2 linked regions of the Caenorhabditis elegans genome follow. The protein of the gene in region 1 interacts with the protein of each later gene in a pairwise test. Each region holds a gene or a part of one and is shown on either strand. Other genes may lie near its edges.

Region 1 (2,852 bases):
AAATGGCGTAGTTCAAAATGTTTTAGTACTAGCACTCCCTTTTCAGTTTCGTTAGTTTCGAAGGATTTTTCTGAAAATTTATTCAAAGAACACAACAACTGAACAAAAAACAAACGTGTTTAATTACCGAAAAACCTATTGCGGAATGAATAAAAAGCTAAAATTCCGAAAAAAAAACATTTGACAAAATTTCAAAACATCCCGTTGCGAAGCTTTAACTTTTTGGGGCATTTTTTTGCTTAAAAGAGTAAACTACCAGATTTTGCTATTCCACCAAAAACATGGCATGTTTTCAAGATAAAAGTAACCTGGTCCAGTTCTAAAAATTCAGAATCAACTTTCAAAAAACGTTCAAAAATATCTATTTGAAGGAATTATGTCTGAGTCGGAATTTGTTGGCGCGCTTTATAGTTGTTAGCCTCTTTCGGTATCTTCAAAGATTTCAATTCCTGATTTTCATCAAGATTTCAATTATTTCTATTTATTCTCAACGATTTGATAAATAAATATGTTTAATCCCAACTCATGCACGCTGTTCAAAAACAAGGAAACACAAAATATTTACGTTTATTACTTTTTTGTAAAAAAAATAACATAGAATAACATGCACTCTCGGCTAGAATAAAAGAGAGATTAAGTTAAGAGATGGAAGATTTTAGTACATTGAGAGATACATAATAGATTATTCAGAGAGATTGGCGAAACAGCTCAACGTTTATGCACGTTCTCCACGGATGCGTCGAGCAAGCTGGATGTCCTTTGGCATGATGGTGACACGTTTGGCGTGGATTGCGCACAAGTTGGTGTCTTCGAAGAGCCCAACGAGGTAGGCCTCAGAAGCCTCTTGCAGAGCTCCGATGGCGGCGGATTGGAAACGGAGATCGGTCTTGAAATCTTGAGCTAGAATAAAAACAGTTGATTAATTAATAAAGAACATTACAATAAATATTACCGATTTCACGAACAAGACGTTGGAATGGAAGCTTGCGGATGAGAAGCTCGGTGGACTTTTGGTAACGACGAATCTCACGAAGAGCGACGGTTCCTGGACGATAACGATGTGGTTTCTTGACACCTCCGGTAGTTGGAGCTGACTTGCGAGCCGCCTGCAATTATTTCTTCGATAAAAAATAATATTTCATAATGACAAACCTTAGTGGCCAGCTGCTTGCGAGGAGCTTTTCCTCCAGTTGATTTACGCGCGGTTTGCTTGGTACGAGCCATTTCAATTCTGGTTCACCTGAAAATTATACGCAATATTGATAATAGAAGTCAGCATCAAAATATATGGAAAATGAGATGACTAAGAGCAAGCGAACAGCGTGAAAAAACGAAGAAAAGTGGTGTTTATGCGGAGACGCGCAAGTCTGTTATTATGCGACTCAACATGACCGCGACGCGGCACGCTCCGCCAGTGAATATGGAATCTTGTGACCATGTGAAAATTAGAAAGTAAAACTAAACTTGTGATTACTTTCAGAGAATTAGAGAATTTAGATACTAATGAAACTGATGAAAAAACATATCATAACTGTTAAATTTTATACTTCGATCTTATAAGAAATACTTTACATTTTACGAATTCAAAAAATTACAAAAGTTTAAGCATTCGAGGATTTTTTCAAAGACTAGTTAACGATGTATAGCGTTTTAGGTCATATTTTAACTATTCTAACTATTTAAGTAAAATATCAATAATTATTTTAAAGGTTAGCGATTTTTGTAAAATGACAGACCAGCAAGAATATTAAGAACTAAAGCTTTCGGTTCGATTCAATTTGATTGAATGGGAGGAAAGAGAGGAGAGAGAAATAGTGAGACGGAAAAAGACCAGAGTGAGATGGCTGTGAGCGAGAGCGAGGCAATGCAGAGTGTGGAGACAATATTGGGTAGAGTGAGAAAAAACGTTAGTGTAGCCTTGGAAATTATAGAATAGTATTAGAGTATACGAAAACTGTATGACAGATATCCGTTATTTAAATTTGCTATCAACACTTGGTTTTCTACGTAGCACACTAAATCTAAAACAACAGGTCACGTGGCGGAATTATTGGCGAATTTGGTGTTCGCCGGTTTCAAAACATCGGGCGAGTTCCGCATTTGCCGGTTTTGAGTTTTTTTTGGCGATCGGCGAATGCGGCAACTATCCCAAAGATTTATGGCAAAAGTCGGTTATTTTCGGCAAGTGCAGGCCAAATGACCAAATATCGCCAAAGAAAAATTAATAAGTTTACCCAGGATTGTGATATTAACGGTCAGGAGATAATAAACAGTGCTCTGAATAGTGTTTCACAAAGATATTACGTCCACCGGTTGCAGGTGGTCAGTGCTTCGGCGACTCGCCGCACCCCCTAGTTCAAACAAGCCTCAATAGGAAATATTGAATTTTCCTACAAACGACGGCACTATTTATCAACGGATTTTTAATGTTTTAATTTTCTATTGAAAAGGAAATGGAAATTTCAAATTTGTTGTTTATTTGTATCACTGTTTGGTAAACCGGCGCCACTTCTCAACCAACTTTAGCCACTTTCTAACGGCCATTTACAAAAGTGGCGAAAGTTGGTTAAAGTTGGCTAAAGTTGGTTAAAGTTGGCTAAAGTTGGTTAAATGGGTAAGCATTTTTAAGTTCTAAACAACTGGAAAACGAGTGTGGGACTTGGCAAAAGTTGGTTGAGAAGTGGGTAAAGTTGGTTAGAAAGAACATAAAGTTGGTTGGAAAGTGGCTGATATCTAATGGCAGTTTTAATAACACATACATTAAAGAAGACCCTGAAAGGTGAATTGTATACAACAGAAGAGGACAAATATTGTAGAACAAAAGTTAAAAAACGAGATTTGTTGGTTTTTAA
Region 2 (4,845 bases), 5.7 Mb from region 1:
CAACCCTAACACAACCAGTCTTACATTTTCAAGTTTGTTTTCTTGAGTATATGTATTATTTCAACCACTTCTCCCTCACCTTCAAACCTTGATTTCGGTCATCCACTGTAATTAGTTCAATTGCCGGAAAAATTCTCGAAAACTGCCAAAAATTATGGTGGTCTGTGCCCCCGCTGTCAAGTGGCAATTTTTTTTCTGGTCGCTGCTGTATGAGACTGAAAATTGGCAGGAAAACATTAAAAGCATGGCGTGAAAGTTGAAATTTATGAATGTTTTTTTTCTTCTTGCTCTTGAAGTCTGAAGACCCATCAGACGAAACGAACATCCCATATTTTTTCTGCCTTTGTTTGTTGGTCTCCCCGCGCCGGAATCCCATTCCAGCACAAAACTTGTCACTTTTTCTTCCGTCTTCCTTTTCAGCCTCGTTTAGTTGTTTCTTTTTTTTTCTCTTTCTGACATTTTTTTTCTCGGTTTCCTTGAATTCGTTGCTGATAAAATATGTGTTGTCTCTTATGCTCACAAAAGAGCACCCGCTTTTCTCACATCGGACATCCTCCGTCCTCCCGCAACTCAGCGAGTTGAGCATTCCAAAATCTCCGGGGACATCTTCGAATGAATGTGCGTATTTGAGAAGAATAAGCTCAAGTGTAGCAGGCGCTAGATTCCGATAAGGAAAAGCATTTCGGGATATTATTTTCAAATTGTAAACAATGTTCAAGTCTGGGATTCCATCTATATTAAATCAATTCCAGTTTCTATTCCACAATAGTTCAAGCTCGGAATAAGATGAGACATATCCTTCTTGAATATTCATTAGTTTTAGACGCCTCTCATCGATTTTAGTGCACATTTTCTGTAACAAAAAGAACTCTTGGTCGAATCCTCTGAGCTCACTGAGCCTTCAAGCTCTATCCGATGTTCTTCTTCCTCACGAGACTAAATTTCATTTTGGGACTGCTGTTTTCTCTCGATGAGCCTTTTTTAAAGGCTTCGAGTTTTTTCCAATCGCTCATTCTATTTTCTGGGTAATTATTTGTACTGAAAGTGCATAAAAGGGATTGGATTTTTTTGTAAATTTTATTTCGGGAATTTGGGTAATTTTGCTACGATCAAAAAACGCAAAAAAAAAGTCAAAAAATTTATTTTGAATTCGAAATTTGTAAGGTCGATGTTACTTTTCTAAATTAAAGAAAGTTGTTTTACATTTTGAAAAATTGAAAACTAGTAAAAAAAGAAGAAAATTATGTGCAATATTGCTTTTAAATTTAATATTTTTTAATTGTGAAATTCGATAAAAATTTGATAAATGAAACTTTCACATTGAATCAACAACACAACAAAAAGTACTTATACCAGAAGACAATTGTTCTTTCACCAAATAAAACAAAGGGAATGCACTCATAGATTTAGAAGATAACCCCATATACTCAAATCTTTTAAATCTTTTCAAAAATCTGAGGAAAAGAGACATAAAAATTCGTTTTTGCGGCATAGCACCCTCCTAACCAATTCTTTGCCCTTTTTTATTTTTCTCTCTCCCTCTCCCTCTTTCTGACTTTTTCAAACTCATCCGTTCAACTTATTCTCATTTTTGCACATTTAGAGTGTGATATGGAATATTATGTGGAACTAAAACTGTACCGGGAAATATACTCTACTCTCTATCAGTGAACATATGAACTCTCTAGTCAGGTGATAAGTCTTAAATTCGCACTTGACATATATATTTCCAATATTTGTTGTATTGTTTTTCAATGTGAATTTTTTAATCCTCTTTGCCTGTTCCTCAATTTACATATTTTGAACAACTTTCGATATAGTTGTTTTTTCGTTACAGGGGAAACCAGCAACCATTATACCATTCTATAAAGATAGTATGCCGGAGACGGCGGCCGACTCATCCAGTGATGAGGTAAGTTTTTTTTTTTTGAAAATAAATTTAATGTAGTTATTTTACAAGTTTCAAGCGTTTTTATTTTTAAAATTTAATCCAACTCGTCATGTTTATTATAATGAAAGATTGAACTATTTCAATTGTGGTATATCAAAATATTCATACATTTTTACAACGTTTTTATATCCTTCAACTATTCAAACATCTGAAATTCAATGTATATTTACAATACATTTTCAATAAGAAAATAACTTGATTACATAAACTTGATTTAATCGATTAATTATTTACAGCATGACTGGCACGATGAGAAGGAAGATATGCTGATGATGGTGATGGTGGTGTTGCTCATGCTGCTCTCTGTCGTAATCTGGGTGGCCTTCTGTGTGGCCGTCCGAAAAACGGCGCGTAAATTCATTGAACTGAAAAGGCAAAGACGAAGACAGGTACGACAATCATTTTCACGTGTATACCGTCAGATTACACACATATTTTCCTAACTGGTATGGATTTTTATCCGACACGCTCTACTTGCAAGCGGCTTCACACACACTGCGAGATTTGAGATTTTTGTTATGCTTTTGATTTAGTTGAAAGTTTGAAAGAAGAAGGGGAACAGTGTGAATATGGGAAAAAATTATACACTCTGAAATACTTATGTATTGCTGAAAAATTAATCAAACATTTTTGAAATTTGACAGAAATTAATTTTTGAAATTGAATTGAAGCAAAACGCAAAAAACTATGAAAACATGATGTTCTAATTTTTTGATGTTGAGTTACTAAAATATAAAAATACTTTTTTCAGGCACTTTTAACAGCAGCAATCAACCGAGCAGCTTCGACAAATGAAGCGGACCGTCATAATGTACTTCCGATATACATAACAACATTGGCACACGAGCTTAATGTTGGTTTTTTGCCCTTTTTTTTTAATATTTCAACAAAAAATCTAGTTTTTTTTTCTAATTCTAATTATTTTCAGGTATTCGGAGCAAGAGAAGAAGAGCTACCAACTTATGAAGAGGCACTTTCTATGAGTTGCACGCCTAGTCCGAATCCAGTTGTTACAACTTCGAATCGAGATCGGTTAGTTGTAGACTCGCCATATATCTTCACATTAACCCGAATAGCTTAGCATACCTTCACATAACCCTGACATCAACTAATCCATTTTCAATTCCAGCGTGCCCCCATACAAGCCACGGTCTGGAAAGTCGGGCGGCCGAGTGCTCAGGTAGGGAAAATGTTGTCTAATACTTCTGTCAAGTGCTAATACTGTGTGATTGCGTGTGTGACATATAGAATTTCTTAATATTCGTGTTGCGTACAAAAAATAAATAAAATGAACAATGTAATTGGGAAAGTGATTTTTTTTTGGCGTCGATGACTAGGAAATTTAAACACCGTCAATTCTTCCATGAAATTTGTTGTTAATTACTTTACTTTTTTGAGTTTGAGTTCCATTACACAACCACAACAACAAAAAATAGTTGTTGGAAGTTATAAGAAGATTCTGGAAACATACTGACACCCTTGCAATAATTGAAAAAGCTAGCGTAACAAAACCAGGAAAGTGTAAAAACAGTTAAGAATTGTTGAAGAAAGTGAAAGCCATTCAATAACCAATCTTTTCAAAAATCGTTCTCAAAACCTACAAGTTCAAAACAAATGTTACTCTTAGAAAATTAACCTTTTTTGACTTAATTTACACTCATGTAATAAATTTTCCAGAATCGCTCCGGACCGTCCTGGTTCAATTCCAACAATAGTTCTACCGCCAAGCTACGAGAGCTCTGTCCGTCATGAAGCAATGCTTTCGCCGAGAATACATTCATCGCCGGTTCCCACCTCATCGAACGCCACCGCACCGAGCACATCCACTTCTCCGCCTATCTACACCATCTCTGGAAACATGCACGTCACTGAATGCTAGTTGTGTGTTTTTGTTCTCTCACTGTTTATTTTGAATATCTTTCTGATTAGTTCTTTCTTTCTGCACACCAGCACTTTCTCTCACATTTCATCAACTCGATTACGGTTATTTCAATCTTGAGACTTTTCAATGCTCATTCGAATTGTTTCAGAGAGAGAGTCTTCATACGGTTTTGAACATAGAAACCGTTTTGTAAATTTCTCTACTTAAATGTCATGATTCGTGTTATCTACCTATAACTCGGTAATATAATTATCTCCTCAATCCATGTCTATCTATTCTTCAAACTTCTACCCAATCATCCCCCAGTCAGCAAAATCGTACGGTTAATCCATTTCGCACCAAAAAATTGGTACAGAAACTGAAAACGGTCATCTATGCATTGATTCTACTAAAGTATGGTTTCGGTTTTCACGCTCGTGTACATGTTTGTATTTTTGCCATTTGTCATGTCTGTATAGAATAAACTGATTTGCATAAGCCAATGTTGAAACTGGAACAAAAATTGAATGAAAAAAACCAACCGGAGACCAAACAGGAGACAAGTGAAATTTTAAGTTTTTTGGTTGAAAGGAACACAAGAATGTAATGACGCGTAATTATTAAGAATACACAACTCACTAAATAAAACTACTACCTGGTACACATTATTGACATAATTGAATTGAATTGATTTTTTTTTAAATTTAAATGTAATGCAATGCAAAACACAATAAATCTCAAAGTTAAATGAATGTCTGAATCAGAATACTGGCCTCGAGAAAGTACATTAAAAAAAATTTGAGAAGCACATGAAAACGACTGGAAAAAAAAATAAGTAAAAATGTCCTTACTAATTTAAATTCTGCGATACGGTAATTTGGTACTTTTATATTTCTAATACCCAATATTACAAGCGAATGTACGTATAGTGTTCATGAAGATTATAAGAAGCATAACAAACTCATAGAGGAGGTTTGCACATAATTTTCAAAGAAACTGCAAGATATTCTAAACAATTATTGGGGAAGTAAAT

What was found. Proteins that work in one complex are often made in the same cells at the same time.
Region 2: the proteins of his-71 (region 1) and C04A11.1 interact in a two-hybrid assay, tested with the Caenorhabditis elegans proteins (one large-scale study listed by BioGRID).

Annotation. Positions count from the first base shown.
Region 1 is NC_003284.9:7,980,831-7,983,682, forward strand, and holds his-71 (Histone H3.3 type 1), read right to left. Parts: upstream 1,241-2,852; 5' UTR 1,225-1,240; coding exon 1,153-1,224; intron 1,107-1,152; coding exon 953-1,106; intron 901-952; coding exon 716-900; 3' UTR 552-715; downstream 1-551. UniProt on the Caenorhabditis elegans protein: Variant histone H3 which replaces conventional H3 in a wide range of nucleosomes in active genes. Constitutes the predominant form of histone H3 in non-dividing cells and is incorporated into chromatin independently of DNA synthesis.
Region 2 is NC_003284.9:13,658,671-13,663,515, forward strand, and holds C04A11.1 (Protein hu-li tai shao), read left to right. Parts: upstream 1-1,835; 5' UTR 1,836-1,876; coding exon 1,877-1,912; intron 1,913-2,187; coding exon 2,188-2,340; intron 2,341-2,702; coding exon 2,703-2,804; intron 2,805-2,879; coding exon 2,880-2,983; intron 2,984-3,080; coding exon 3,081-3,131; intron 3,132-3,628; coding exon 3,629-3,830; 3' UTR 3,831-4,310; downstream 4,311-4,845.